2 linked regions of the Arabidopsis thaliana genome follow. The protein of the gene in region 1 interacts with the protein of each later gene in a pairwise test. Each region holds a gene or a part of one and is shown in the gene's direction. Other genes may lie near its edges.

What was found.
Region 2: the proteins of RHL2 (region 1) and TOP6B interact in binary tests that used the Arabidopsis thaliana proteins (3 or more experiments, as listed by UniProt).

What each region holds. Positions count from the first base shown.
Region 1 is NC_003076.8:633,886-648,741, forward strand, and holds RHL2 (Spo11/DNA topoisomerase VI, subunit A protein), read left to right. Parts: upstream 1-8,668; 5' UTR 8,669-8,772; coding exon 8,773-9,303; intron 9,304-9,485; coding exon 9,486-10,238; 3' UTR 10,239-10,509; downstream 10,510-14,856. Other genes in the region: GSTL3 (Glutathione S-transferase family protein), read left to right, coding at 1-49, 132-208, 305-412, 505-585, 971-973; CDL1 (Protein kinase superfamily protein), read right to left, coding at 1,660-1,923, 2,014-2,405, 2,481-2,670, 2,756-2,937, 3,381-3,489; PRR7 (pseudo-response regulator 7), read right to left, coding at 4,398-4,517, 4,621-5,290, 5,388-5,835, 5,934-6,108, 6,401-6,565, 6,737-6,870, 7,004-7,165, 7,267-7,576; AT5G02830 (Tetratricopeptide repeat (TPR)-like superfamily protein), read right to left, coding at 10,573-10,874, 11,054-11,114, 11,217-11,427, 11,538-11,635, 11,865-11,945, 12,043-12,108, 12,303-12,896, 12,985-13,149 and 4 more. UniProt on the Arabidopsis thaliana protein: Component of the DNA topoisomerase VI involved in chromatin organization and progression of endoreduplication cycles. Relaxes both positive and negative superturns and exhibits a strong decatenase activity. Involved in cell-elongation processes.
Region 2 is NC_003074.8:7,256,442-7,274,551, reverse strand, and holds TOP6B (topoisomerase 6 subunit B), read left to right. Parts: upstream 1-5,801; 5' UTR 5,802-6,053; coding exon 6,054-6,135; intron 6,136-6,224; coding exon 6,225-6,277; intron 6,278-6,370; coding exon 6,371-6,468; intron 6,469-6,566; coding exon 6,567-6,672; intron 6,673-6,817; coding exon 6,818-6,955; intron 6,956-7,092; coding exon 7,093-7,144; intron 7,145-7,254; coding exon 7,255-7,319; intron 7,320-7,619; coding exon 7,620-7,726; intron 7,727-7,866; coding exon 7,867-7,969; intron 7,970-8,076; coding exon 8,077-8,162; intron 8,163-8,254; coding exon 8,255-8,451; intron 8,452-8,770; coding exon 8,771-8,886; intron 8,887-9,031; coding exon 9,032-9,117; intron 9,118-9,273; coding exon 9,274-9,346; intron 9,347-9,519; coding exon 9,520-9,611; intron 9,612-9,715; coding exon 9,716-9,854; intron 9,855-9,930; coding exon 9,931-10,025; intron 10,026-10,106; coding exon 10,107-10,281; intron 10,282-10,377; coding exon 10,378-10,527; 3' UTR 10,528-10,652; and 1 more. Other genes in the region: AT3G20800 (Cell differentiation, Rcd1-like protein), read left to right, coding at 655-834, 1,026-1,097, 1,269-1,358, 1,471-1,513, 1,721-1,827, 2,026-2,121, 2,595-2,785, 2,880-2,949 and 1 more; AT3G20790 (NAD(P)-binding Rossmann-fold superfamily protein), read right to left, coding at 3,453-3,566, 3,655-3,762, 3,855-3,932, 4,019-4,079, 4,160-4,248, 4,327-4,377, 4,565-4,678, 4,772-4,887 and 4 more; EIN3 (Ethylene insensitive 3 family protein), read left to right, coding at 11,964-13,850; AT3G20760 (Nse4, component of Smc5/6 DNA repair complex), read left to right, coding at 15,661-15,892, 15,966-16,046, 16,232-16,487, 16,608-16,918, 17,005-17,096, 17,186-17,365. UniProt on the Arabidopsis thaliana protein: Component of the DNA topoisomerase VI involved in chromatin organization and progression of endoreduplication cycles. Relaxes both positive and negative superturns and exhibits a strong decatenase activity. The B subunit binds ATP.

The sequences.
Region 1 (14,856 bases):
GTTAAAACTATGTATGTGTCACTCAAAGGAGACCCCTCTAAAGAAACCGGTGAGACTTTAAACTCTTCAACTGTTTTCAGGGGTGAAAAGGCGACAAAATTATGACCAAAAATTTCATGTTCTTGTTTCAGCACCTGTGTTAGATTATCTGGAAAACGCTCTGTATAAGTTCGATGACGGGCCGTTCTTCCTCGGTCAGTTAAGCTTGGTATAAGCCTCACTAACCTTCTTTGAGATCATACATTTCGCCTTTTGTTTGTCTTAATTCTTATATGGACGGTTTGAATTCTTTGTTTTTTTCAAGGTTGATATCGCCTATATCCCGTTCATTGAAAGGTTCCAAACTGTACTCAATGAATTATTTAAGTGCGACATTACTGCCGAACGTCCCAAACTATCAGCATGGATTGAGGTATATATATATGCAATCTTCATTAAGTCAGAAAAGATTACACTTATCCTCACTAGGGAATGGTACTTAAGCGATCGGTGTTATGTTTGCAGGAAATTAACAAGAGCGATGGCTATGCACAGACGAAAATGGATCCTAAGGAGATTGTGGAGGTTTTCAAGAAAAAATTCATGGTAAGTCATACAACTAGGATATAATTTTTTTAACTGAACTACCACATGATTTTAATGGATCCAAATGTGAGTTGCTTCATATTTTCTTGGGGGTTAGAACATAAAAGCTATATATGCCTTTAAGCATCTGGTTGTTTAGGTGTGAATGTTCGTTGCTTTGGGTTAGTTTTCTGTTTTGGGAATGAAAACCGAGTCGGTTTAGCATCTGGCTCAGAGACAATCTCATCTTTCTCCAACGAGCGTTTTGCGACTTAGACGTTTTGAAAGCAAAGACCATGCACTAATCATCAGCTAGCCTATTACTATGGCCAAATGACTTGTTTAATACTTTCTCGGTTAATGGTCTATACTAAATGTGAGTCTAATTCCGGTTATATTCTTGCAGTAACTGTAAGCAAGCACGAAGCAGTAAAGTGTATGAGACCAAACCACCTTGTACGAACAGGTGGTCTTTGGATATGAAGAAATAAGATGTGTACTTGAACCTGATGATGCAATAAGATTTGTACTTTAAGCAGCAACAGCTTAATCTGTATTCTAGTGTTGATCAAATTATCAACCATTGACATTGTTAATATATTACTGTATGATAGTAATACTATCAAAATCTCACACATTAAGAACCAGATGATGCAATAAGGATAAGGTGTATAGTTAACTTGCAGCAACAGCTTGATCTATATTTGACTGTTCACCAATAATCAATCCTTGACATTGTAATATGATATCAATACAATCAAAATCTCACACATTAAAGTTTTGAAAACTATAGTACTTTAATATTTATACAATAACTTTGGAATCGAAGCAGACATCCTCAGTACAATAATGAGAAATTGTCACATTTGAAAGCAAGCGCTCAATAAACATTACATTAAACAACATCACCTATAACAACATTATAAACCGGCCTCTATATGAATCTATCTCTTCTTACACATATCTACAAGTAGCTCTTAAGCCATACATTCACACTTAGTCTGAAAATCATCCACCTTTCCTCTCCAAGAAAGACAGCACGGAATGGGTTTAAGCTACATAACTTACACAGCATTGCGGTTCTCGGGATTATTTTCAGACCCTCTTTGATCTAGGTGGAGTCCCTGGAGCGAAAAGGGATCCTTGGACTGGCTGAGCCAGAGGATCAAACTTTTGGGAGGCGAGGTAAGAAAGTGCAGTGACGACGTCAGCAATGAGAGGTCTAAGATTTGGCTGCTCTTGTACGCACATCGCTGCTACAGCGAGTGCTTGGTATAACCCTCGCGGAGGGTATTGACCTTGAAGCATTGGATCAGCCATCTGAGAGAATTTCCTCCTGTCTTTAAACAAAGGCCTTGCCTGACATAGAGAGCATTTCAAAGAATACAATTAGAAGGAAGAATCCGCAGAGAAAACAAAGTTTGTTCCCAATTTGTTTTTTTTTCTTACCCATGCGACTAGATTCTGTTCTCCAGTAGATCTTGAACTGTCTATTGCTTTCCGACCAGTTATAATCTCCAACAGAACAACACCGAAGCTGTAAACGTCTGATTTGAGTGTTAGCTGGCCTGTCATTGCATACTCGGGAGCACAGTATCCGTATGTTCCCATAACCCGAGTGGACACATGAGACTTGTCCCCAACTGGGCCAAGTTTAGCCAACCCGAAGTCGGATAGCTTTGGAAAGTAATCATCATCGAGCAAAATATTTGAGCATTTCAAATCTCGATAGATCACTGGAGGCATGGTTTTGTCATGCAGATACTCCAAACCTTTTGCAGCACCGGCAGCTATTTTCATTCTGGTGTTCCAGTCAAGTGGCTGCTTACCAGGTGAAATGTCTGAAATAAAAAAAGCATCACCCGATTGAAATTTAAAGACTTCTCATAGGCATGTGTGATCTTAGAAGCGCATACCGTGCAAATGATCTTCAAGTGAACCTAGGGGCATGTACTCGTAGACTAGAAGCCTTTGATCTCCATCAGCACAATATCCTATTAAGTTAACAAGATTCGGGTGATGAAGAAGACTCAACATGAGAACCTCGACGAGGAACTCCCTGTTTCCTTGTAAACCATTATGATCAAGTTGCTTGATAGCCGCTGTCTACAAATGAAGATATAATGACAGTGAGCTTTCACTACCAAGAAGATTCAAAAGGTTAAAACCAAGCAAAAAAAAGGGAAGGAACCTGGCTAGTGCTGGCCAAGTATCCTTTGTAAACTCTACCAAATCCTCCTTCTCCTATAAGACATTCTTTTCTGAAGTTTCTAGTGGCAGTAGCTAACTCAGAGAATGTAAACGTTTGTGCCACAATGTGATCAGAGCCTTTACTTTTGGATTCACTCAAGGACGACTTGGCCCTAGATTTCTCTACAAAAAAAGAAAGAAAAGAAAGCGATAAGAAGAAATAATTAATCAACACAAGCTGAGCATAATTGTCTCAAGGTCAATAATCAACAAATTAAAGTTCTAAGAATATAGCAAGATACTTAAGGATCTAGCAAGTCCCATTTAAGAGTTTAATCCACAACTTCCACTGGAGAGCAATAACAACAATTAACAGGAAAGAGACATGCAATAACACATCACTGTCAAAATACTAACACAGGTGTTACAGAGTAGTCAAAAGCTAGTGAAATGGAAGGAAAAAAGCAATCTTTAAACAGAAAGTCAAAAACCCTAATCAGCATTAGCAAACGATGATGGCTCACAGGAATCAGAAAGTTTTAGCAAAGGATAAAAATTTCCATAATTTAGTAAGAGAAGGTTAAACCCAGAATTAAAATTGGACAAAGACTATAAAGAGAAATTACCTGAAGTAGACACAGAACAATCAGAAGACTTCCTGTCGAGTTTGTGGTCACCGTTCCTCCTTGTCTTATTCCTCCCACTCGATTTCCCAGAACACGGGATCCAACCCATTAAGCTTCTCACGATCTTCTTCTTCTTCAAATGATTCTTCGTTTCGATTGTGTTCGATGATCTCAAAAGCGAGAGAGAGAGAGAGAAGCTTAGAGAACTTTGAAATGTAAAAAAAGCACGCCAAGCCAATCGCTGGATTTTTCGATTTTTCTCTTTTGATATAAAATATATTTTTAAAACAATTTAATTTTTGTGATACAAATTAATGTGAATGGGTTTGACTTTGACAAATAAAAATTAATTGTCAAAGAAAAAAAGACAAACAAAAATTATATTTTATCAAAGTAGTATCAACTAACTACCCCCATGGAATTTAAATTTCTTTTCAACACACAAAAAGAGATTATTTGATTGAATAAATTTCTTGTGTTGTAAGTTGTAACAATATTGAAATTGAACTTTAATAAGCAACAATCGTGGTCACCATTATAGTTTCCAATCATTTGGGTATAAGAGATTGATTATTCCTATTTTAAAATGGTGTTTATCAAAGACAGATTTTTTCTAAGAATATATATATTTACGATATAAGCTAAATGATATTGAAAGAGATAATGTTGATACAATACGACACCGTACTATGCACGGCTCCAAAAGCAAGCTTATACCAAAAAATATACAGAGAAGGGGTTATTGTTTTACAAGTTTACAACATCTACAAAGATTTCACTACATCCTGAAACCAAACCCTTCGTCCTAATTTCACAAACCAGACCAGACAACGACAATAATAACAAACAATCAAATGTCGTAGTGTCTTTGTTTCGTGAATAGTAGTAGTATTATCAAAGAATCAGACTTTGAAGGGAAAATGTTAAAACATGTGATAGATATATATATATAAGATAGATATGAGCACATTACTCATGTTTTTGGGCTGAGAAATAGTGGGTTTTGTTGATTTTCCGTTAGCTATCCTCAATGTTTTTTATGTCGTTATCATCAGTTGCAGCGGCTGTTTTACGCACAAATTGGCCTCGCACTCGAGGGCGTTGTTCTGCTAGTTTTTTCCGGCTTTGGTATCGTACCTGAGAAAGCCAAAAAAAAAACATTTTTGCGGTTTGCATTTGCTTTCGCAATTTACAAGAATACTTTTTTTTTCCTTTGTTATAGATTTGACCGAGAATTTACCTTCTTTCGGAAGCACCTCTCTTTTCTCTTCTGACGGAACTTTGTCAAAGCAGCTTCCCTTTGAGAGATCTTATTTTCATCCGCCAAGTTTCCGCTACCACTTCCACTTCCGCTTCCACTACCATCGCCATTTCCATTTTTGCCAGCACCATTATCACTTCCCATATTCATTCCTCCAGCATTCATACCGTTACTGCTTCCATATGGCCCATTACTTCCATGACCACTACCTGATACACTTCCATTCACACTGTAATTCACTGTGTTGTTGTTACCTTCAATCGTTTCGTTGTACACATTTGAGGATCCACATTGTGGCGGTAGCTTCTTCCTCTCAGCGACATGGACAAGGTTATAGGAGGCATGATTATTATGATGATCACAGGGTAAAGGCTGAAACGATGAATGCTTCACTGATGAAGATCCTGCTGAGCTTACTTTTGGAGCTCCTGGTTTTGTGAAAGCGTTGTTCTCAGTCGTGGAACTCATATCAAAGTTATTGCTACCGACATGTGAGCGATGATTATGGGGGAGACTCTCATTCATGTTCGAGTGACAATCATATGCTGCTTCAGTCTTTTTTATAAGATCCTGACTATTATTATCCTGAAGCGAAGTGCTTCCTAAGTTCCCACCAGAAATCTTATTGGCATTTGAGGCTGGATTATACCTGCACAAGTCCAACAGTCGATCTCATAGTTCTTCAATAAGGCATTCAAAAGGTTGTGTACGGAAGAAAAAACAGAGGTTTGATTCTAAGAAAGTACCTTGAGAAAGCTGAGCCCTCTGAACGCCTCAGCACATTCCGATCATCCCTAACTAGTGTCCCATCATCTTTAGTTCCTCTATGCCTCTTTGAACTATGTTCCACGTGCATTAGCTCTTCAGAAATTTTAACAGAAGCTTCATTTGTATCTAAAGTTTTCAAGTGAGTGTTAGGCGCCTCAGGTTCTCTGTTATCTTGAAGGTGGCTAGACATAGCTTTGAAACTCGAGCCTCCATCTTCATGCATTTGTTTACTTGAAGGACTTTCGCTACTGAGGTCCAATGGTCCTTTTCCAACTTTCATTTTCCATTTACTAGAGCTCTTTTCAAACGAATTATCCTGTCTCATAATGCCAGTAGTTTTAGATAGGGGTTCATCTTTTGGCTCCAGGGCCAGATCACAGTTTCTACGAATGCTAATCTCCAAGTCTCTACCCATTGTGACATCTTCTGCAAAATAGATGAAAAACATTCAATATCATGTTTTTGAGTTTCAGTATAAAGAAGAGTATGGAAGAAACTAAGAGATCACAGTTTCCTTTCTTTACCAAATTTATCATCATGTTCTTGAGTCTCCTTCTCAGCAGGTGGTGCAACCAACTGATTACTTGGAAACTCAGGGTTAGAATGTACCACTTGGGCGCAAGTGCTATCAACTCGGTCCCATAGAGATACCGCTCGTGGACTGTCATCAACATCCACAGCTTTTTTCGTCCAAGAGCTCTGAACAAAAAAAGGTATGTCAAAATCAACCTAGGTTTTGGAGATAAACCATGTGCAAAATAAAACTTCAAAATGAACTAGAAATTTTCACCCAGTTTATCACTGAATAGATCTAAGTTAAACATCATTGAGTTCTACAATTGGTTAGTTAAGCGCTTCCACCATTTATAAGCATCTGAGTGCACATGCGAAGTTCGATCATCCGACCCCTATCATTTGTGGTTAAGAAATTTTTAAAAGGATAGCTTCTCGGGTGTATATTTAGATTATCGGTATTGCACATTCGTCTTACCTGAGCGCCACTCCCATCACTACTTCCATCACTAGCATTCAGGCCAATGCTCCCATTTTCATTCTCATCACTGCTTCCTGAATCTTGATCAGATTTTTTAATACTTTTCGATTTCACAGACTTTTGAGTTTGATGCGTTCCGCTCTCACTTCCACTACCACTAGACTGAACAAGAAACAAGGAAAACCATGAGAAACCAAAAAGTAAGATACCAATCATGTGGAAAAAAAAAAAGAAGATACCAATCCACAATTAGACCATGAATTTCTAGTTTACTACTTATCACCAGTTGTACCAACAGGTTTTCAGATTAATCATATATGAGCAAGGACATACACTTTGGCATCTTCTCCAAACATGCTGCCAAAGGATCTTAAGCTCATTTTTTCTTATTGGCTTAACAAGAAAGTCAACAGCTCCTTTCGATAAGCACTTAAAGACCAGCCCCATTGAGTCATGAGATGACATCACTGCAACACAAATCTCACAGGGGAATGTAGTTAAAAGCATCTACTTTCCAACATACGCTAGAGAAGACTCAACAAATCGTGTAACTTCAAAAGAAAGAGCTCAATGTAAAACGACCAAGGAAAAAGAACTCACTGATGACAGGGATGTTCCGACGAGATTTGTGGTTCAAAATCTTGCACAAGAGACCGATACCAGATAAGTAAGGCATGATCACCTCTGTTAGCACAATATCAATATGATTGTTTAGATCTTCTAACACCTTCCAAGCTTGTATCCCATTTGACGCCTCAACAACTGCCATGACAGAGTTAATAATAATCAATCAACAAACAGAACCGAAACGGGTACATATATGCGCTATAGATTAAAGTTGGGCCATAGGCTTCAAAACTGACCTTCATAGCTACAATTGCGAAGAAGTGCAGTAACGATATAACGAGTGCAGTCGTCATTTTCGACAAGCAGAACTCTAATGGTTCTCACATGAAGAAACCTTTCCCAACAGACAGTTGCCGCTGTTTGTTGCGACAATGGAATTTGCAGTCCACCTGAACTCCCATTTCTCACATCCATAGTAATTCCATTAGTTTTCTCTTCTTCACTATGCTTCTCTGTCCGACTCTCAACCCTATCGAATTTCGTCTCTCCGGTCTTTCGATCAGTGATTGGGTAACGTGAACCCTCCCCCTCCTCATTAGCATTCATCACACCAACTCTGCTTCGCTGAATTCAAATGATCAAAATATCAAAACACAGCCATAAACCCTAATTTCGATTATTGCAATAGCTAGAGGAGTTAGAATCGTACAATATCTCAGATTAACAGAAAAAAGAGTTGAAGAACGACGAATTCTCAAAAAACCAACTAATCAAGTAACTTTTTGAAGAATCATCAAAAAATCGAATCTAGACAAATTACATCAAATAAAAATCCAACCATACAAAAGCATCTAAATTCCAAGAGAGTACTGATCTTACAATAATCAAATACTAGAACGAAGAATCGAGCTCCAGAAGTTGCATCAATCACCAGAAAAATGGATCTAGCACAATCAGCTAACGGTTGGGAAATAGAAACAAGGAATTCAAATCGATAAACAGAATTAAGAATCGAAGCTTCTTAGAACTTTAGAAGGAAGATAAACACAGTGAACAATTTTTGAGATTATGAGGTTTTTCTGTCTCCCAGAGAGTGGAAATCGGAGACGACCATAAGCCACCGATTTTTATTTTTCCGGAGATAGATAGATATTAGAAAGATTTGTCTCGGGCCAACAAAAAAAAAAAGGAAATTAAAAAATCGTAATATCTGACATGGACAAAACTAGAGGTCCCGAACGTTCGAGAAGTTCCACGTCAGAGCGGATATTTCCACATCATATATTGGCGAGGATTAGTGACGTGGATGGTATATCAAAAACAGTCGTTCAGGAGGCTAGTGGCAGATTATTAAGATCTTTTTGAACTGACACGTGTAATGGTGGGTAAGGAAAACGTCAAGTGGTAAACTCATCTGGACCGTTGAATAGATTTTGGCGGAAGAGACTAGCGTTTAAAGATTTTATAGATGTAGTTAATATTGGGCTTACCATATGGGCCATTCAAAAAGATTTTAACCCAATAAAAAATATTCAAAAAACTATCGTCGACAGCAGGGTTCGAACCTGCGCGGGCGAAGCCCAATAGATTTCAAGTCTATCTCCTTAACCACTCGGACATATCGACATCTCGTTAAAAGCACAATTAATTAACTTAATAAATGCGTTTCTAAGTCTACCCCTTTAGTTTACCCTAGAAATAACATTCACGAGATACGTTGACCTAAAGGGTAAATTTTCCCGCCATTGTTAGTACCAGAACTCTCTGGGCCGCCGCGTCTCCGTCGTCGTGGCTATCTACAGATGGCGGATAAGAAGAAGCGAAAGCGATCAAAAGATGACGAGGCGGAGGAACTTCCTTTCAAAAGCATTCTGGAATCAGACGACGTTATCACGGAGCTTCTCAAATCGTATATTTCCTCTTCTATCAAAGCCGCCGCCGGAGCCGGCGGTGCCTCCTCCTCTTCATCGAAACCTCTAACCCTAGCTGACCTCTCTCTATCATCTTCCTGTCGTGAAGTCGCAGATCTCTCACTCTCCTCCGTGCAGACAGAGATAGAGACAGTCATCGTCCAGATCGCCCGTTCTATTCTCGCCGGTGATGGCTTCTCCTTCAGTGTTCCTTCACGCGCCGCCTCGAATCAGCTGTATGTTCCTGAGCTCGACCGTATAGTGCTAAAAGACAAATCTACCCTCCGTCCATTTGCCTCCGTTTCTTCTGTCAGGAAAACCACCATCACCACTCGTATCCTCGCCCTTATCCACCAACTCTGCCTCAGGAACATTCACGTTACTAAGCGTGATCTCTTCTACACCGACGTTAAGCTTTTCCAGGTAGGTTCTTCTTGCTTTCAATTTTACTTGAGATGATACTTTCTTCCCATTAAATAGAGAATGATAGTCACTGTTTTAGATCCAGCTCTTGTAAACCTGAATCGAAAGTTCTAGCATTGATTCTTTGTAGTTTCGATTTTGGAAGGTTTTTGAACCAATTCGCAACCTTACTGAATTTTCAGGACCAGACACAGAGTGATGCTGTGTTGGATGATGTCTCATGTATGCTCGGTTGCACAAGGTCAAGTCTCAATGTCATTGCAGCAGAGAAAGGTGTGGTGGTGGGAAGGCTTATATTCAGTGACAATGGAGACATGATAGATTGCACAAAGATGGGAATGGGTGGGAAAGCCATTCCACCAAACATTGACCGGGTTGGAGATATGCAGAGTGATGCTATGTTCATACTCTTAGTTGAAAAAGATGCAGCTTATATGAGGTTAGCTGAAGACAGATTCTATAACCGGTTCCCTTGTATCATCGTGACTGCAAAAGGCCAGCCTGATGTAGCTACAAGGCTCTTCTTGAGGAAAATGAAAATGGAGCTTAAGCTTCCGGTACTTGCCTTGGTGGATAGTGATCCTTACGGATTGAAGATCTTGTCGGTGTATGGATGTGGGTCGAAGAACATGTCATATGATAGTGCAAACTTGACTACGCCTGATATTAAGTGGCTTGGAATTAGGCCGAGTGATTTGGACAAGTATAAGATACCTGAACAGTGTAGGTTGCCGATGACTGAGCAGGATATTAAGACCGGGAAGGATATGCTAGAGGAGGATTTCGTGAAGAAAAATCCCGGGTGGGTCGAGGAACTTAACCTGATGGTGAAAACGAAGCAAAAGGCTGAGATTCAGGCGTTGAGCTCTTTTGGTTTCCAGTATTTATCGGAAGTTTACTTGCCCCTGAAACTGCAGCAGCAGGATTGGCTCTGATAATCAGGTTTCTTCCTGATCAATTAGATAGACCAACAAGTGTACTCTACAAATTTCGAATTTTTGATAATGCAATTGCCTGTTTCTTAGCATGTGAATTATTATTGCAAAGATCGAAATTTGGTTTTAAATTTATGGTTGAATCTACACAGAACTGGAAAGATAGCTGTCAGATGATTATTTAGAAGACAACTCTTTTGTTTATTTAGAAGATTGTATACAATATGATGGGCATTGAGATGATATGCAATCTTTCCCCATTCTTTTCTGCATATGGTTTGAATTAGCATAAAATACAATGATGACTGATTAGTAATGTAACAGTCGGAGGCAGCTACTTTCTGCGCTGCAACCACTGATACAGAGACGCCTTTGTAACCATCAACCTCTCCAGAATCGCAGGTCTCCTCGTTGAGGATATACTAACAAATGACTTAGTGTTCTCTTGGTCTGCATCATCTACACAGTGTGCATCCTGTATGATATTTCTTTGTCCAGCAGGAAGAACCACAAGAGACAATTCATCTCGTAGAAGCTTCACTAGCGCTTCTTGCACAGTAATCTCTTGCTTTCCTGAAACGGTATTTGCTTCATCGGTTCCTATGATAATCAACACATCATCTATTACAACGTCACCTGCAAAGGAGATTCAGTTAGTTACAAGTGTTTTTTAGTCTCTACTGGCATAAAATTCAACAACATTTGATTTTTTTGTCCTAACTTAAGCTGCATGTATGCTGTTCCCGTTTGAAATGTTTACCGAGTCAAAAAGTTACTACATGAGAGAGAGAATGTATTGGTGTCTTGAATCTTACCTCGCATATAGTCTTCCTTGATCATTCGCAAAACTGCTAGAACAACAAGTCGAGCCTCAATCTGTAAATGGATGCAAAAGTTTGACATGGTCATATCGCTGAAAGAGTTAAATTGATAGGACTACAAGCACATATGAATATTTCATTGTCTCCAGTAACTTACCTTGGTAAGTCCTTGAAGGTCAATTGCAAGGTTTCCAGCTGTTCTCTCTTGCATGTGTGTAGCTACTTTTTCAATGAGTAGGCTTACAGGTCTCCCTGCGTTATCTCCTTCTTGGTCGCTTATTTTATCTTGGCTCTGACCGTTTTCCTGTATGACTCCTTCGCACCACTCCTCAATAAGTTCCTTGAGAAAGTGATCGTTAGGTTTGTACCTGCAGTGTTGTGGCTTTGTTTGTGAGTAAAAAGGAATGCCTCCTTACTTGTTGCGGAACCATCAGGAAGAGAAATGAAAGTAGACCATAAAAGTAAAAATTGTTCATACCCTGCATTTCGCATGTCCTGATATATAGCCAAGCATTGCCGCACTTCAAGTAAAGAACCATATTTGCTTCGTGCTTTAAGAAGTGTATTATATGTCACCTGAGAAACAATTTTCTAGACTGAGAAATGCTGAAATAAATTTTGAAACGGCTTCCATCTTTAGGAAATGCATTCCGTCAATTTAGACTACTCTAATAATAGCTTTGGACTTTATATGCATAATTTTATACACATCACTGATAATTTCAGTCTGCTGATTCTCTCGAAGGTGGCGTTAGTAGCTGAAAGGGACAAAAAGAAACAAAGCAAATTCGAGGAGGAGAATTACCCAGTTTGGCTTAATCTGATATCTCCTCATCTCCTCAAACAAAGAAAATGCCAACTTCAAACATTTATTTTCCGCACAAATCTGCAAGATAATAAGGTCTGGATCTTCACACCTTTGAGTTGCACAATAATTAACAACAAAGCAGAAATGTTGGCACCACTAAGAGAGAGATTAATACCTTGATTGCTGTTGTGTATGCAACAACATCAGGTCTGGTTCCAGCCGAATGCATAGTTCTCAAAATCTGTGCTGGAAAAGAATTTCTATCAGGGAACTTATCATATTACTGCAAATCCCATCATTGATATTATGAATGTATCTGGAAGCTTATAAACAAAAGCTGGAGAAGTATGATCACCTTAATGCTATATCTCTGTTTTAGGAAAGAGATTTGAATGATTAATTTTAAAAAAAAAATCAAGAGAAAAGTTAACTCACCCGTACAGCACCTTCTACATCGCCTGAACCTCCACACATATCAATCAAAGTCGACCATGTTATTTGATTAGGTGAAAGACCTAGGCTCTTCATCTCATCCATCAATTCTTTTCCTCGATAGTAATCAGTACCACAGGCTTTCAAGAGTATATTATATGTAGCAGTTGTTGGCTTGAAGCAAAATCTCTTTGAAGCTTGGATATAAGGTGAATTAGAATTGCGATTCACCAAAGACCCAGGACCATTATTTTTCAATATATTTGGGCTGGAAGTGCGACCTTTACTAACTATGTCATCTGCATATAAGGATTCATTAACGGAGCTTCCTTTCCAAGATTGAAAAAGACGAAAAGCTCTGTCATACTGGCAAGCTTCAACGCAAGCATGCAGTAGGATGTTGAAACATTGAGAATTAGGCTCGCAGCCAGATGCAAGCATTTCTTCAAATAGGTGATTTGCCTGCTCTACTAAACCTGCATTGGCACATGCACTGATTAATGATGACCATGTATGAGTATTTGGGGTTACACCAACAGATTTCATATCATCTTTGACTTTGAGTGCCCATTTCCACATCTTTGCATCTGCAAAAACCTGATCTTAAGACATTATTCAGAGACTTAGGGATATAAAAGCAAAAACTAATGATAAACTTAGTTTTCCAAAAATACTGATATTGTACCTTTATAATAGTACAATATGTAAAGGCGTCCAACTTCAACAATCCGGAAGATTCCATTCGTTTTGCTTCTTTGTATATATCCTGGGCAAGATCAACCCGTCCAGCCAGGCAACATGTTTTCAGTAGTATGTTGTAGGATGTCATGTCAGCTGTAACATCAAGTATCTGCCCATGACATGTAGAGTTTCAAGGTCAGTCCACACCCACTCCTAAATCTAAAATACTCTCTAGACAATTCAAATACTTGTATTCAAGAGACAGAAGAAAGAACATACCTGCATATTCTTGTATACTTTTAGTGTGTACCCAAGATCATGGGAATTAACATTCATTAGACTGTTAATAACATAAATATTTGGCTTAATGTTTTCTTTGAGAAGATCCTGCCACAAAATTATGAATTAACTACAAATCTCAAATGCAGGATGGCAGACAAAATCGAGCGTAAAGGATACTTACGCAAAAATACAGTATAATTAGGGAATTACCTCATATATGTACCTCGATTTAACGTAATCACCACACAGGCCACAAACATCTATCATCGTTCGGCATATATACATGTTAGGAGTATCCAAAATCTGTTTGCAGGCTTCATATGCTGTCATAACAGAGACCATATCTCCTTTCTTTCCGAAACCATGAATAATTCTACAAAGCAATAACTCTGTATGCGGCAAAAGACATGCGTATCTGCATTCAATAATCATCAAATCGTTAGCAGAACACACTACATCCAGCATTCTTGTAATAACTTTCTGAATTTGAAAACCATTAACCTGAATCGTTATGTGGGAAACAAGGCTTACCTAATAGCTAATTGAGGATTGGAAATTTCAACACAACTCTTTACAACATCAAAAGGATCCACCAACTCTTTGATTTTGAATCCGAGACCTGAAATAAGAAGCAGGTAATCAATTCAAGAGTTCATAGTCACAGTGTAACAGCAAGAATTGATATAGTATTTACCGGCAAGTATCTCCATTAGATCAATAGCTTTCTCCACTTGCACAGAGTTAGCCATTGCTCGAAACTGTTTCCTCATTAATTTCACAGACGAATCATCGACAAGGTCCAATGGAGCAATTCCTACCTTCTCAATTCTCTTCAAAGTGTAAACGACGCTCTCAATCTTACCTTGTCGAAGATTCGACGAAATCCCTTTCGATAAGAGATCATAATCAACCATGGAAGCGAAACGAGCCACATTAGCTCCGGACTCTGCAGCCAAAGTCTCGGCGATGAGAGCGACGTCCTCAATTCGACCATCCTCAGCTAGCTTCGAGGCAAAATCAGCGTAATACTCAAGCGAGCCATCTGGAATCCATCTTACGACATTGGAGAAGTGGCTAGAGAGAGAATGAGTCGCGGAGACTGAAGCAGGAGAAGGTGAATGTTGCTGCGGTAGTGACGGAAGTAGCTTGGTGAAAGAAGAATTGGATTTAGTTTTCCGGTTGGACTCTGGTGCTGTGGCGTAACAGCGACGGTGGTGATGGTGAGGATTGGTTATGGCGGAGGAGGAGCCAAAGACAATAACAAAGTCTCTCATTCCTCGCCAACGGTTAGGATCATCATCGTATCATCATTGTGGCTCAGTTTTTCTGGTTTTCTAATTTCATGTAAATCAAATGGATTGGATTTGAAAGGCTATTTTTACAACTTCCACACCGGACCGGATTTGTAGTGTTAAAATACACCGGTATATATAAACCGATTTGGTACTTTGATTTTAAATTTTAAGAAATAAAATAAGAAAAAGGAGAAAAATGGATGGCCTGAAATTGCAAGCGAAGCGTCTCCACATATTATACACCAACTTCTTGCCCGCCATGTGGATATCGTCGTCATTTCTCTCTCTAACCCCTTCTC
Region 2 (18,110 bases), on another chromosome or scaffold:
AGTTGAAAATTAATAGAATTTTTTTTAAAGATATCGTCACACTTGGAAAACCGCAGATTTTCCGCTTGTACTTTTCTTATAAAGCTTTCTAACTCTTTTATTATTTGTTTCAGAAGCATCGGTTACATTTACGCCTATCTTGAAAATTTAAATCTCATTTAGTGTTCGAGTTCTTACGTTTTGGTCCGTCTAAATTCGTTCAGTCAACAATTTTTTTTAAAAATATTTTCTTATGTTGGACTCATATGTGATATTTTACATCAATGATTAAAAAACTTAATGATATTATTAGAGAACTATTTCTTGCTTATGTGCCATTGCTTTGATAAATTGATTTCCGTTCACATTCATGTTGTTTAACTTATAACTTAATTTTGTACACAAACCAATTAACACTACTTTTTGTTTATTTGTTTACCATATGCATCACTACATATTATAATTTATGAATAACAAATAAAAAACGGTTTAAGTCGTAAATAGTGATGATTAAAACTATTTTGAAACTAAACATTTTTTTTTGTTTTGACATGAAAATAAATAAATAAGGAAGAAAGGGGCGTAATCGCCATCTATAAAGAAGAGAGAAGAAGGGAGAAACCGAATCCTTGAAAAGTCCCATTAACAAACAAACGAGAAAACCAACTCTGGAGAATGGCGAATCTACCTTCTTCTCTCTCCATGGGCACACCTTTCGGTGGTCCTAGCACCTCCGCACAAAATCCTACCGGAGCTCCGGCCAACAAAGATCGCAATTTGGCCTCTGCTGAACAGTTGGTACTCGATCTCAGCAATCCTGAACTCAGAGAAAATGCTCTTCTCGAGCTTTCCAAGGTTTTCTTATAATCTCTCATGTTTTCTTCTTCATTTCTTCCATCTGGGCAGTCGTTTTTTTTGTCTGATTCGTCAACGAGCGCTAGGGTTACTCTTGAAATTTGCTAAAGTTGAGAACTTTTCTCAAATTGTGTTGAGTATGTGAATTTGGGAACTTGGTTCAGTATCTGAATTAGTGGTTTCTTTTGTAGAAAAGAGAATTGTTTCAGGATCTGGCGCCTTTGTTGTGGAACTCTTTTGGTACCATTGCTGCCTTGTTACAGGTAATGACTTAAATGCATCTGTTTCGGTTATCTCCAGTTACTTAAATGCTTTTCCTTTCTTGTTAAATTGATGAGCGTTGAATGCAAATGATTCTTTTATATCTAAATGCTATTTATTCGGTGTTAGTAGCGTGGTTTTGATTTGACTGTTTCGTCTATTTGTGCTTGCAGGAGATTGTATCAATCTACTCTGTTCTTGCACCTCCAAATCTGACTCCTGCTCAGTCCAACCGTGTTTGCAACTCGCTCGCTCTTCTTCAGGTTCACATGGAGATTTCGTCTTCTTATTTAGGATGTTTTATTTCATGTTCATATATTTTGCTGAATCCATCAGATTTCTAATGATTTTCTGTCTTGTTGTTTTACTCTGCAGTGCGTAGCATCTCATTCTGACACGAGAATGTTATTTCTCAAGGGTAATGTTCTTTTTCTTTTCATCAGGCTAAGCTTAATGTTATATAGTATGTACCATTGGGGATGTCTATTATATGCTCTTGTCTATTTGATACGAGTTAGTGGGGTTATCTGTTTATTGTATATTTATTGCATGGTTTCAGTTTATTTCGTGAAGCAATACAACTGATGAATTTGTTGTTATGCCTTTTCTTCGTTCTTGTGCACAGCTCATATCCCGTTGTACCTTTATCCCTTCCTTAATACAACGAGTAAGTCCAGACCTTTCGAATACTTGCGGCTTACTAGCCTAGGTGTCATCGGTGCACTTGTGAAGGTACACCATCCCGTCCCTTTTCTGTTCCTTGTTTCTCTTTGGTTTTGATGTTCCCCACCTACTTTTTGCTGAAAGCAAAGGACTAAAAATTGTGTTAGTGGTCTTGGTTTCTAAAGTAGAGAATTTATATTCTTTTTTGGTGGTTAGTGTATGAAATAAGAAAGGTTCATCGGATCCTTATTTCACTTTGTTTTCCAGGTTGATGATACAGAGGTCATTAGCTTCCTTCTTTCAACTGAAATTATTCCTCTGTGCCTCCGTACCATGGAAATGGGGAGTGAGCTGTCAAAAACAGTAAGTCTTTTAATTTACCGTTACATTTTCATGTTCATATGGTACCTTCTTTAAGTTTCTTGACAGTCTTAAAATTCGTTTTAGATGCACATTTGTTAGTGATTTTATTTCTAACTTTTTTGGCATTTGAAATCGTTAATAATGATAAGCCAAATCCTAACTTTCAAAATCATATTAAGAAATGAGTCTCAGTTTTTCTTGTTACTGTTTCTCTTAAGTGTATGAATGTATTACCTAAAATGATAATCCAAATCCTAACTTTTAAAGTCCTAAAAGAAAATGAGTCTCGTTTCTTCATTTAACTGTTTCTCTTAAGCCCAAAAATTACTCATTCTGAGTTTTTTTATATATCCTAGGCTGGGATTGTAAAGTTTCCATAGAACCAGTTCTGCGCCAATGAAATGGTGTCTACATTGAAACTCATTGAAAGTGTGCAACCCCTTGCTTACGTATTAACATAATGTTAATGACAGGTGGCAACATTTATTGTTCAAAAGATACTGTTGGATGATGTGGGGATGGATTACATCTGCACAACAGCAGAGCGGTTTTTTGCAGTTGGTCGAGTGTTGGGAAATATGGTTCAGTCACTTGTGGAGCAGCCTTCTCCGCGCCTTTTGAAGCATATCATTCGTTGCTATCTCCGTTTATCAGACAACCCAAGGTTGATTTAGCCCAAAACAAACTTACTCAGAAATGACTTTTCGTAGTTTATCATGTGTTTGGCTTTCTTATGCTTAAGCTTTTGTGTTAATTAGGGCTTGTGCTGCACTCGCAAGCTGTCTCCCTGACTCGCTACGAGATGGATCCTTTAGCAATTGTCTTCGCGTAAGTCATCGTCATCTTTTGACTTGGTTTTTGATATTGTTTGTGTAAGAGATGATTCAGTTGAAAACTTGTTGTGTACTTCTTTTCAGGAGGATCCAACTGCAAGAAGGTGGCTGCAACAGTTGGTGCACAATGTTGGAGTTGGTCGCGTCCCAACACATCAAGGTGGAGGATTTGAGCACATGCTTTGAGCTGAATCCATCTCAAACCCATCCATGGAGTGTGTTTCTTCTGTTTTTGTTTCTAATTATACATGTGCTTTTTAATGCCTTAACTTAGATGATGGGTTATAGGCTTTTTAGTCTGTTTGAAATTCTTATTGTAATTATTTTTAAGCTCTAGAACCAATCCCCCAGAATGCATAAGTCTTGGGATAATAAAAGATTGGTTACAAAAGAAATATTATAGAGTTTGTATTATCATGTTGAACGGTAACAATTTTTATTCCAGCAAAAGCTTTAGCGGTATGTTGGAGTCTAATCGTACTTAATAAAGGTTCAAAGCTAGAATTTGTTGACAGGGACTACGGCTCCATTTTTCGCACCAGACTCGAGCATTGCTTCAAGAACTGCAACGTCACGAGCACCTTCCACATATGATAGACGAGGCTCTTGCTCCTGAAACGGATCCATAATAGGAGAGTTTAGGTAATAGAATACTCATGTTATGAGTTCCTGCATTCCAAGGCTAAGATTCTAGGATTACCTTTGAAGTTTCTGAAATATCATTGAAGAACGCTTTTAACTCTTCAGTCACTCCGCTGAATGGGTAAAAGATGGTCCTTGATGTCCCTCCTTCCCCGTAAATCGTGGCCTGAAAATTTCATAAGATCACAGCCATTTGAGTTGAGTAGTTTCAAGCAAAATCTGGATCATTCAGATGGTCACATGTTAAAGTATACAAACCATGTAACCATGTCGGCCACCTTCCACTCCACGCTCTAGTTGAACAGTGCCCTTTAGTCCTACGATTCTCCATAGTATCTAACAAATAGAAGTTATGTAAGAAAAACTATGGTTATTAGGCTAAACCGGTGTGGAAAGAAGAAAATCTAAGTCTTACTACATGCCTTTGGAGACCTTGAAGACACAACCATAACAAAAACCCCAGAGCATCCGTTCTCGAGCTGACTATAGAGCAAACATCCTGGATTAGTATGTTCATGTGAAATTAGTGTGCTAAGAAACAAGATTGATGTATTTACACTTACAAGTTTGATGTTATATTGTCTGGTCCAGGTAAAGTCTTATCCACATGGGTAGTGGTGGCTGAGACTGATGTTACCTCACATCCAACAAGCTGTTCATGAAAAACCAATATATCATACTTGGGATCCACAGCAAGATAAGCTTATCAGCTAATGAAGTTACACGGTACCATTCTTAATCCTGCAATGTAATGTACACCCATATCCAAGATGAAACCACCCTGCATATGAAGAACTTTCTGTAAAATATTAACAGATAACACAGTTTCTTCAAGATATATATGGGTGATTGATATATATGTCAGTGTAATTCTTATGTTACAGTCTAAGTAAGCAGCGTGTTAGGAAGATGCAATGCAACAGAGTCTGACAAAATAAGAATGTGACGGAATAGAAAGTATTACATACACTCAAATTTCGCCTCCAGGAGCTTGAGAAATAAGGATTAGAACTGTTCATTGATCCCTCAATAATAAGCTGGACGTTCATCATATCTCCAATTTCTGCTATCAGTTTCTTCAACTGCCGAAAGCAACCATGAAATACTTCAATTTTTCAAGGACAATATTACTTGCTCAAATAGGTAGTGCCAAGAAGACAATAAGTAACAGTTACCTCAACAAAAGCTGGCTCAAAACGATAATTTTCAGCCACAGCCCAAATTGGACGGCATGGGGAATCAGCAGAAATATTTCTATAGCTTGACATTGCAGTTTCTATCTCACTGATTGCTGCAACAAAAAAACTTGTAAAACAATAGGAATAAAGCATTTCATCTGCACTTTAGAGTGGCATAACCAGGAAGACTATAGTTTCACGTTAAATGGGTCATGCTCAACAGGAAAAATTGACTCTGGGCTAGAGTAGTGGAACTTAAACAACATGCCAAGTTGGTTTAAACAAGAGCAGTGATCAACTTACAAGCAGCAGCTGGCTTCTCTGCAGACCGATCCAGGACAGCAATATACATATCAAGAAAAAAGAAATATCTTTAGCTTTTTAAGTTGGGACACATTTCCAAGAAGCAATAACATTGCTAAAGAAGACGATCATAAAAGCAGAGCAGAAATGAAGTGGACAAGTCACCTTGAAGGACGTGCTTTCCTGCCTTGAGCATCTTCAGTGACAATTCAACCTAAAGCACAAGACTTTGAGTAAGAAATATCCTATGCACTGTCCCAACTAGATTCATACGCATCTCTCAAGTCTAAGATCAAACATACCATGGTTTCTGCAGCTACAACTACAGCAACACCAACTATTGAACTGTCTTGAATGATCTCATTGAGACCCTCATCTCCCCATTTGCACTTCACTTCAGGAAAATGCTTTCTTGCTATCTCCACAGCTCCTTTTGCAGATTCCTTCAACCATAACAAAAATCACAATTCGCCAAAGTTTTCATCTTTTTAGACATTTGGCATAAACATCTCCCAAAAATCAAGCGCATTGATCGAAATGTCACCTCAGTACGGCTCCAAATCGCTTTCAGGTCGACGAGATCGGAGATCTCAGCTAATCTCGGAATGTATTGAGTTTTGACGAAGATCCCAGCTCCGAGTATGGCAATTCCAGGTGAAGAAGGATTCACCATTTTTTTCCTTTCTCGTGTAATGGTTTTCTCTATTGGATCCAAACAGAATCAAGTTAACTTACAACTGTTGCTGCTTATAGTCACACCACACAACTCATGAAACACTAAGTCCAATCGCAAACGCTATAATTTAGTAAAATGACCGATATAACCCCAGCAACCAATCTCTTTGATCGAGTTTCCTTAACTTCCCTCCATAAAACCCTAGATCCTGCTTTGAATTTTGATTGGAAACTTGTAGTGTTGTACTCTGAGACATTTGGTTTGATCTGACTCAAATTTTCACAATTTGTTGTTGTTTCAATGGCGGGTGATGATTTAGTTGAAACGAAGAAGGGAAGCTCGAAGAACTCTAAGGACAGCAACGAGAGCAAGCTCAAGCAAAGTAATGCTCTATGTATCATTTGCTGCACAATTGATTTCAATTGAGATTAAGCTCAATTGACTCTCTTTTTTGAATTCGTGAATTTGCAGAATCTCCAGCTGAGTTTTTCGCGGAGAACAAGAACATTGCTGGATTTGATAATGTGAGTCCCCAATTTGTTGGTTTCAATTCAAACGATGCATCTTTGTAATTTCAATTCTGTATCACACGAATTTTGAATTGTGGATCTCATCAGCCAGGGAAGTCGCTTTATACTACAGTTAGAGAGCTTGTTGAAAATGCTCTTGATTCTGCAGAGTCTATTTCAGAGCTCCCTGAGGTTGAAGTAACTATGTACGTTCCTTACTTCGTGCTGATTCGAGATGTTAGTTCTGGTAGGAGAAACTGTGTAGGGGTTTAGTTCACTGACTGTCTTGTTTATATTTTTGAAGCGAAGAGATTGTAAAATCTAAGTTCAACTCCATGATTGGTCTTATCGATCGGGAACGTGTTGACACACAGCTGTATGATGATTATGAGACAGAAAAGGCCCGTGGGGTGCGTGAATTCTGTGTTTATTACTCTCTTCTTCGTTCTGATCAAATCCTTGTGCTTTTAAGAAGCTACTTTTTAGTGTTCAAGAAGTTTCACTGTTCTGTAATCCTTGTGATTCTAATATTTGTTGTTGTTTCCTGTTATGTAGAAAAGGTTAGCAAAGGAAGCTCGAGCCAGTGAGATACAAGCTAAAAATTTGGCATCGGGAAAGAAAAACAAAGAGCCTGGAGTATCGAAGGTTTTAAAGGCCCGTGGGGAAGCCTCATATTACAAAGTGACATGTAAGGTGAGAGTTTGAATAATATTTGTTTGATTCAACAGAAATTTATATATGCAATTTTAAGTATATGTATAAATATATGGAGATCCTAATTGTTTTCTTAAACATTTTTTGAGTTATGAATTGAGTTGATCATAATGTAGGATAATGGTAAGGGGATGCCACATGATGACATTCCAAATATGTTTGGGAGAGGTAAAATAGCTAATGACCACCCTCACTTCCTCTATTGATTTAGCCTGGCATATCAACCTTATAATAAACCTTTATATTGAGGCTAAGTTTACAAATTGTTCTTCTTACAGTTTTATCCGGGACGAAGTATGGACTGAAGCAAACACGTGGAAAGTTTGGTCTGGGTGCAAAGATGGTAATAATCTATTCTTATCAAGTTTGATATCTGAGATTAGCCTGTAAAACTGCATGAAATGCTGAAGTGGTTTATCAGTTTCAAATTTGCAGCCTTTAGATGGCTCGTTCCTAGGTTTACAAAAGGAATATATGTTGTATATGTTGCTTTAGGAGGATTTAATCATTGGCTTTGATTTGCAGCTGGTCTTTTGTTTTTGTATTCATATTCATAACATATCTATGTTTCCCTTCATATCGATATTTTTTCCAGAGAACTTGTTTAACCCTTCTAGTTTCTCTAAATTTTCCTGGCGTGCAGGCCTTAATCTGGTCCAAAATGAGTACAGGTCTCCCCATAGAGATCTCGTCATCTATGAAGAGCCAAAACTATGTTACTTTCTGCAGACTGGATATTGATATTCACAGGTACCCATCTGAATACATGAGCAGCTTCTCGAAAGCGGATATCAATCTAATTTTTTATGTTTGGGCATTTGACATAATAGCTATGAATCCTTCGGATTTTCCACGCCGTATAATTGTCTTCAAATGGTTAAAATTTTCAGGAACATTCCTCATATTCATCTGCACGAAAAGAAGGGCAACAAAGAGAAATGGCATGGGGCTGAAATACAGGTGGTTATCGAAGGAAACTGGACAACATACAGAGTACGTGGTCTAGCTCGTCCTTCTGCTGTATATTATTTCTTAAGTGTTCATTAGACATATATGCACGCAAACTTGTTTAACACATTTTATTTTTTTGTTGTATCCAGTCAAAGATCTTGCACTATATGCGCCAAATGGCTGTCATTACTCCTTATGCGCAGTTTCTGTTTAGATTTATATCAGAGACACCAGAGTAAGATCACTATCTTTCTGTTTTTTTGCTGCTCTGTCACATAGCTCTTTATGTGCAGCATTATCGGGTTTTTAAATCTTCTTTTCATGTAGGAAAAATGTCACTATTAAGTTTACTCGAAGAACGGATGTGATGCCCCCTATTCCTATCGAGACAAAGCACCATCCATCGTCAGTTGACTTGCTGCTTATCAAGCGCCTTATTACAGACACTTCCAAAAAGACCCTTCTGCAGTTTCTTCAAAATGAATTTGTGAATATTAACAAAACCCTTGCAGCACGATTAATTGGTAATATGACATCAATCTCATTTGTTACATAAGTTTGAAGTTGTTTAATATTCCCCCTCACATCACATTTGGCAGTACTTTTACTTGGCCAATGGAAATGATCTGATATCCAATTAAGAAATTCTGTATCACATGTCCTGATGGATTAGACGGATTATTATATTCACTAAAAATGTTTGCTGATTCTGAATGGCAATTTTCTGCTTCATTTTGCTGGTTATTATTCTGAGAAAATCATCCATGCCTTTTATATTTACTAAGCCTGTGCTATCTCTTTAGTCAAATTCAGTCATAAGTATTCTTGTTTTCTTTCTTTCAGGGGAAATGGGACCTGATTTCGGGCCTAGCATGGCTGTCAAATCTGTGACATCTCAGCAAATGGTACGCATACATCAGTTATTCCGCCAAGCTAAATTCGACGACCCTAGTGGTGATGTAAGCAGCTACTTTCTCTCTAAGGTTCACTGGGAACTGCTTTATTATCTCTATATCTCTCTCGAGGGTCTTATAAAATTTCAAGTTAGAGCATCTGTATTGTTTCGAAAATTAGCTCTATTCATACTGCGGTTTTCTTCTGTAGTGTCTTAGCCCAGCAGGAGAATACAATCTTCGTCTAGGGATTATTAAGGAGCTACATCCAGATATGGTGGCAACGTATTCCGGCAGGTTGTCACTGCAACCCTCTTTTCTACGAATTCATCTGATTTAGATATGGAGTTTATTTTTCTTATAGTAATCTCATATGTCAAGCTTTACCTACTTTGTCGTTAATCTGAGCTTTGTTTCATCAAGTGTTGACTTCTTCCTGGAAACTATGTTTAGTGCTCAGGTCTTCGAAGGTCATCCTTTCATTGTTGAAGCTGGTGTTAGTTTGGGTGGAAGAGACGTGAAACAGGCAAGTCATATCCTCCTTTTGTTTATTCATGTGTCATCAAGTTCTCATAGATTTAAGGTTGCTCTAAGTATGAGCATGAATCCACCATAACCATTGCTCTTTATCTTTTGTCGATCTCACTCTTCTACTATCTAATGGGTTATTTTGGGAATTTGCTGGAACTGAAATGGCAGGGGATCAACATATTCCGTTTTGCAAACCGTATTCCTCTCCTTTTTGAACAAGGAGCTGATGTTGTCACCAGGACGGCCTTAAAAAGAATCAAGTGAGACTCTTTCTTTAGCTTGCTGTATTCCTCTCTGTATATCGTTATAGTTGGTATCTTTCTCCAACTTTTTTTTATTAATGAGTATTTTCAAAACATTGCAGTTGGAATAGTTATAAGATCAACCAGACGCAAGATAAAATAGGAGTATTTGTGAGCATAGTGAGTACAAAAATTCCATTCAAAGGGACAGGGAAAGAGTACATAGGAGATGACATCAGTGAGATAGCTACTGCAGTCAAGGTAACATTAAGAAAAGATTTTTCTGACGTTATCCCACATCTTATTAAATCTAACTTTCCGCCTTTATTTCCATCAGTCTGCAATTCAACAATGCTGCATCCAACTGAAATCCAAAATAGTCAAGAGACTGCAAGCCCGTGAACAACAAGAGCGAAAACGCAGTTTGAGCAGGTAAAAAAGATAATCAGTGTCCTTCCCATTTTATGCTCCAACCCTGAAAAAAAAGATAACCAAAACTGGAAATGCTTGCAGATACATCCCCGATGCAACGGGGGCAGTGTACGAGGTTCTAAAACAAATGACAGAAGAACATAAAACAAAGAGAAAACGTTACGGAGAGGAAGACATAGTTATGCTTGATAAAGTATCTAAACAGATAATCACAAAAGAAACATTGAAAGAAAAGCTAGCTGAGCATGTAGAACAGGTCTTTTTTTTTTTTGCATCAATCACTTCTCAGCATAAGTTTCTACTGCATCATCACTTTTAAGTCATTCTTGCTGAATATATGTGGTGGTTTCAGGTGGACTACGAGATGGCATTAGAGTATGCAACACAAAGTGGAGTAAGTGAAGAACCCAGAGAAAATATATATCTCCAACACTTAGATCCCAACAAATCCAACTTCATAGATCTTCATAGTCCAACTTTTGTCTTCAGGCTCATGTTGTAAAACATATTTGCATCTCTCTATTAGTCAATTCTTTTCTTTCAGTGTTTTTTGGGATATTTTAAGACAAACACTTGAAAAGTGGAAAAAAGAAGACATAAAATTTAACACTATGTTTGGTTAGTTTCAACAAATGTGTCGAAGAACGTGATAATAATTAATAAACAAAACAATCAAGAAGCATGAAAACTTTTATTAAAATAGTTTTCTCACCTCTTGAGAACAGATTTGTCATAATCGATAATAGTTGTCGATGATGACGAAACTTTTTCTACTTGTAATAAAATATAATTGTAAAAAAAGTGTGCGTTTTTTTTTCTCTCTACCGATTTTAATGAGAGGTATGGATAATGGATCTTTTCTTTTCTAAAACCCATTATTCCAAAAATGAAAATAAAAAACGTAGCACAACAATAAATAAAACTCCGCGTAAGAAACAATTAATTACATACCGCGTAAAATAAAATAAAATAAAAAAACAAACGAAGAGCAGTGAGTATTGCCAAAAGGCGCTTTGTTAATTACATATTAATTGTGTAATAATAATAATAAATGATGTCTTAAATTTTATGTGTAAGAAATGAAATTAAAATGATATATATGTATATTATATATCTAAACATATATATATATATATAAATAGAGTATATATACTATGATCTATCTTCCTGATCTACAGAGAGACTCCACAAAGAAACGCAAATAAACAAAAGTCGCTTTCTAGCCACGTGATCTTTCGTCGACTTTTCTTCTTCTTCTTCTTCTTCCTCTTCCTCATCTCGTATCTCTAACTTTTGTCGAAGTTCTTTTGATGAAACTAGGGTTTATTATCTTCTCCTTCTTTTTCCCATCACCATAGAAAAGGCAGAGACCTTTTTCTTCATCATTTTTATTCTCCTTCTTCTTCTGCTGTTCATTTCTCCAGGTACTATACGCTTCTTCTTCTATTGATTTTTTAGGGTTATTATTGATACTGAAGATGATGATAGGTTTATTCATAGGGTTTTACTAGATCGATGGTTTTACTTTAGTTTACTAGTGTTTACACGATCTAATTTCATGAGTTTATGCTACTTTTAGTTTTTTTTTTGGTTGAATTTTTGTTTATTGTTTATAAATCGTTGATCTATTTGAAAATGTTTTCTCTTTCTTATTCATATATGATCCTTTCTATATTTGGTTCCTATGTTGAAGATCTCATCCTTTTTTTGGAAATTGAATCTGTTGATAATTTTTATTATCCGATTGATTATTTAGTTTAGGAGTGATTAAAATACGATCTGATTATGTGTTTATTACTTAAAACTTTGATTGAATTCGAAAAGCCCCTTTTTTATAATTTAGGGTTTGATGATTTTTTTTAGTAAGTTGTTTGATTCAGAAGAAATATAATTGTACTGATTAGTTTTGTTTGTGTATTTGATTTGTTACAGGTTACAATGATGTTTAATGAGATGGGAATGTGTGGAAACATGGATTTCTTCTCTTCTGGATCACTTGGTGAAGTTGATTTCTGTCCTGTTCCACAAGCTGAGCCTGATTCCATTGTTGAAGATGACTATACTGATGATGAGATTGATGTTGATGAATTGGAGAGGAGGATGTGGAGAGACAAAATGCGGCTTAAACGTCTCAAGGAGCAGGATAAGGGTAAAGAAGGTGTTGATGCTGCTAAACAGAGGCAGTCTCAAGAGCAAGCTAGGAGGAAGAAAATGTCTAGAGCTCAAGATGGGATCTTGAAGTATATGTTGAAGATGATGGAAGTTTGTAAAGCTCAAGGCTTTGTTTATGGGATTATTCCGGAGAATGGGAAGCCTGTGACTGGTGCTTCTGATAATTTAAGGGAGTGGTGGAAAGATAAGGTTAGGTTTGATCGTAATGGTCCTGCGGCTATTACCAAGTATCAAGCGGAGAATAATATCCCGGGGATTCATGAAGGTAATAACCCGATTGGACCGACTCCTCATACCTTGCAAGAGCTTCAAGACACGACTCTTGGATCGCTTTTGTCTGCGTTGATGCAACACTGTGATCCTCCTCAGAGACGTTTTCCTTTGGAGAAAGGAGTTCCTCCTCCGTGGTGGCCTAATGGGAAAGAGGATTGGTGGCCTCAACTTGGTTTGCCTAAAGATCAAGGTCCTGCACCTTACAAGAAGCCTCATGATTTGAAGAAGGCGTGGAAAGTCGGCGTTTTGACTGCGGTTATCAAGCATATGTTTCCTGATATTGCTAAGATCCGTAAGCTCGTGAGGCAATCTAAATGTTTGCAGGATAAGATGACTGCTAAAGAGAGTGCTACCTGGCTTGCTATTATTAACCAAGAAGAGTCCTTGGCTAGAGAGCTTTATCCCGAGTCATGTCCACCTCTTTCTCTGTCTGGTGGAAGTTGCTCGCTTCTGATGAATGATTGCAGTCAATACGATGTTGAAGGTTTCGAGAAGGAGTCTCACTATGAAGTGGAAGAGCTCAAGCCAGAAAAAGTTATGAATTCTTCAAACTTTGGGATGGTTGCTAAAATGCATGACTTTCCTGTCAAAGAAGAAGTCCCAGCAGGAAACTCGGAATTCATGAGAAAGAGAAAGCCAAACAGAGATCTGAACACTATTATGGACAGAACCGTTTTCACCTGCGAGAATCTTGGGTGTGCGCACAGCGAAATCAGCCGGGGATTTCTGGATAGGAATTCGAGAGACAACCATCAACTGGCATGTCCACATCGAGACAGTCGCTTACCGTATGGAGCAGCACCATCCAGGTTTCATGTCAATGAAGTTAAGCCTGTAGTTGGATTTCCTCAGCCAAGGCCAGTGAACTCAGTAGCCCAACCAATTGACTTAACGGGTATAGTTCCTGAAGATGGACAGAAGATGATCTCAGAGCTCATGTCCATGTACGACAGAAATGTCCAGAGCAACCAAACCTCTATGGTCATGGAAAATCAAAGCGTGTCACTGCTTCAACCCACAGTCCATAACCATCAAGAACATCTCCAGTTCCCAGGAAACATGGTGGAAGGAAGTTTCTTTGAAGACTTGAACATCCCAAACAGAGCAAACAACAACAACAGCAGCAACAATCAAACGTTTTTTCAAGGGAACAACAACAACAACAATGTGTTTAAGTTCGACACTGCAGATCACAACAACTTTGAAGCTGCACATAACAACAACAATAACAGTAGCGGCAACAGGTTCCAGCTTGTGTTTGATTCCACACCGTTCGACATGGCGTCATTCGATTACAGAGATGATATGTCGATGCCAGGAGTAGTAGGAACGATGGATGGAATGCAGCAGAAGCAGCAAGATGTATCCATATGGTTCTAAAGTCTTGGTAGTAGATTTCATCTTCTCTTATTTTTATCTTTTGTGTTCTTACATTCACTCAACCATGTAATATTTTTTCCTGGGTCTCTCTGTCTCTATCGCTTGTTATGATGTGTCTGTAAGAGTCTCTAAAAACTCTCTGTTACTGTGTGTCTTTGTCTCGGCTTGGTGAATCTCTCTGTCATCATCAGCTTTTAGTTACACACCCGACTTGGGGATGAACGAACACTAAATGTAAGTTTTCATAATATAAATATATTTGCAAGCTCTCTTCTTCTGTGTGTTTTTGTTGAGTTTGACTTTTACAATTGAAAAGTTTGGTGTAATTCACGCTAACTACCTCAAAGTTAGGGAATGGTGGGATAATTATTTATTACAATTGTATTTGATGGATAACGTGCTTATCGCTAGTGGCTCGTGGGTAGCATTTAAGCATGGGTCAATGCTTGTGTCTACGAGCTCGAGTGATCGAGCACACACAATCCAATCCGAACACAAAACAAGAAGAAAAACAAAATAAGATCTTAGATGTAAGGTATTCTTAAATACCTTTTTTTTTGAACAATATATATTTCATTTTTTGTTTGTAATTATAAAATGGTCCTAGATTAGATTTTAAGTTTTGATTGATCATTAAACTAAATTTGTTTTTATATCTGTTTCTATCTTCTTTACTCACGCAATGACGCAAATCCTTATTTGAAACGGCTTGGAGAGGTTACTATTATTACAATAGGAACATGATAATAATAATCATATTTGATTGTTAACGTTCTCGTCGCTTGTGGCTCGTTGGTAACATTTAAGCATGGGTCAGTGCTTGTGTTCACGAGGTCGAGTGCTCGAGCACACATTTCCAAACCAAACACCAAAAAAAAGAAAGAAGAAAAAAAAAGGACCTTACATGTGAGGTATTCTTAAATACCTTTTTCCTGATTGTCTTTTTAATTGAACAATATTCATATGTTTAATATTTATCTATTTCAATTTTTTTTGTCCATATTATGGTTTATATATATTAATTCAGCCATTGAGATTTTGATAGCACAAATACTTGTCAAGCTTCAAACCATTAACAAGTCTCCAATCCTTCTCCTTAAAGTCATACCACATAAACCCAAGAGGAGCTAGAGTTATATACATAAATCACATAATCTATCACACACACATCGAACATCTTTATTGCAATAGTGCTCACATGCATGTACCATCTCTTGGATCATAAACTATCACTTCACTTGTCCATAACTCCTAGAATATAAGATCTTTCTCTCTATTGAGACAGAGATAAATATAGTGGGATTGTGGCGCCACTTCCAAAGTTTGTGTCTTGTGTCAAACACTTCCGGTTTGATCTCTTCGCACCCTTTAAACACGTAAATCATTTCATGCATCAATTAATCTCACAACTATGAAATAGCGAGCCACTCGCAAACTTGGACCTTGACGCAACTTTTCACACAGGGTATCAAGGATCCACATGTTCCTTGAAACATAATTGTAATTACCCAAGGGAAGTAAAATCTCATGAATCATGACCAACCATTAGAGCAGCAGAACATAGCTCAGCCTGAGTTAACCAAGTATTTATTAGTTCAGAGGATAGTCAACCGAAACCTAATCTTTAGGCAAAAAAGTCAACAAAAAATATACTCCAATAAATATATAGCAGAGACTTCGACGTTGGCGGGAAATTTATCGACGTCTCTTCGTCTTCTCGCCGCCGTTAGGGTTTCTTTCTTATTTTTATAATCTCTTCGTTTCACCTTTTTCCTTTCCGTCTCTCAGATGATTTTTTTCTAAAATCATCATGAGAAACTCGGTGAAATGGGAAACGGAATTAACCGGAGATCGCAGCAGGAGAAGAGAAGCCGATGAGTCCTCGGAGACACCAAAGATCGTAAAGAAGGAGAAGCGTAGTAAGACCGTAATTGCTTCATTACGGCCTCAACAACCGCCGATTCAGGAAGAAGAAGAACAAGGAATTGCTGATCGGAGAGCTATAAGATCTCAGTATCTTGCTCTTACCCACAAGATCAAAGGTTACATTCTATTTCTTCTACTTTAGGGTTTTTTTTAGGGTTTTTTTTCTGACCTAACTTTTTTTTGGTACAGATGCTAAAGATGACTTGACAAAAATTGATTCTAACAAGTTCAACAGTATCATTAATGAGGTTGAGAATTTGCACCAGAAAGGTAAATGTAAACTTGTCCCAATTCGTTTATATATATATTCCTAAGTCTTAAACTAGTAGATGTTTCTTATTTTGGATGAACCTAAAAACTGTTCTTAGTTCTTATGTTGTGTATTTTAGTTGTAGCAAGGATAATTTTATTCACTGATGATATCTTTTTTTGGTGCTTTTACATTTTTATTGCAGTTCGGAAGCCTAGAGAGCAGATTGCTGATGCGGAGGCGCTTTTGGATTTAACGAATAGTGTGGTTTCATCGGTGAAATCGCAATCAGCTCATGGTGGTGTTTCTCCAGCTGAGTTTGTTAATGCCTTGATCAATGGGTTTGGCAAAACTTCTTTAAGAATTGATGCTGATGAAAATACACAAGTGTCAATGAAGTGGAAGGATCTTGGGTTTACGGTCTGTTCCACGGTTTTGGTATCATGTGGTTGTACAACAATGTGAGTTTTCTTTCTCTCATTTACTAGTGCTTAATGTTAGGATATGGAATTGGTATACCTTATTCGACAATATCGATAATATTTTAACTTATTGTTCTGTTTTTGTATCTGTTTTTCTAGGATGGGTCCTATGTATAGTGAAATGAAACAAAGGAAAAGTAGAGTGGGCAACAGAAAACGTACAAAGCCTGGTGCTGGTGTTAAGCCAGAGGAGGTTGATGATACAGAAGCTGAAAAGAAAAGTGATACAGACAATAACATGGCAGTAATGTTTAACATCTTGCGGAAAAACAAACGTGTCAAGATTGAGAATTTGGTGCTCAATAGGAAATCATTTGCTCAGACAGCAGAGAATATGTTCGCACTTTCATTCCTGGTGAAAGATGGACGTGTTGAGATAACTGTTGATAACAATGGTTCTCATTTTGTTGGTAAGATTTACCTTTCCTTCCTTGTGTCTGATTTTGGTAGTTGATTTCACCCTCTAACCCCAAAAAACTGGTTTCTTTGTCTTCAGAGCCAAGGAATGCTCCTGCAGCAAACCTGGTGCTGTCAGGGGAGGTCGCTTATAACCATTTTGTTCTTAGATTTGATTACAAAGATTGGGAGGTATAGATTAGTGTTTCATTTTATTTTAGTAAGTGTCTAGATGGTATATGTTAGCTAATGATTTTGGGGTTTTGGTGATTATTGCATAGCCAATGAGCAAAATGGTGGCAGTGGGAGAGGAGCTGATGCCACTCAGGGAAACCAAAGTTGCTCAAGATTCAATAGAACTGTCGAGGAAACAAGGTTCGGTGATTCAAGAGGAAACGGTCGTCGAAGATTCTTCTAACATGGAAGGCGATAATGAAGATAGTAAAAATGGTGGCTTGTGAAGATGGTTAGGGAATTGACAAGTCTTTTTTCTTCCTTTTTTCTTAACTAATCATTTTGGGGGTACATAGTAACGTTTTTATATAACCTAGCTATGGTTTCGATTTGGAAGGAAGCATGTTTTATGAGGTAAACAGATATTTAAATGTGGTTAGGATTAGTATTTTGGTTGATGGTAGGTTTTGGAAGTTACAGAGAGGCTTTGAAATTTGCTCTTTTCCGACATGCAACAAGTCGAACACAAGCTGTGAGTAAAACCATTTATTTACTTTGGTTGTCGAATGTAGAATACAAATTCTTATTCTGGTAAATATATGATTTTATAACTATACTTTTGATTGCTAAAAAAAACGAGACTTTTGAATTTAAAAATGACAAGAAGATAAAATATATGGCAACATTTCTGGAATAGCATAGATATGGAGAAATTAAAATTTAACTATATTTTGGAATTTCTTTTATGTCAAGATACCAATTTTATGACCAAAATGTACTATTTATATTATTTATTGAAAAACTGAAATCTGATAAAAGTATGAACCCAATGATATCTGAATTATGTGTAACTGTGTATGAATAAGTATTACTATCGATATGTATAATGTTTCCAAGTAACATTTGTTTTAGTTATTGTATTAAATTCGAATAAAAAGACAAAATTATGAATATTGTTACATCATTTGTTAAAATTATCTATCAAATCACATTTATCAGCATGTAACTTTTACATAGAGAAATTTTTCATTT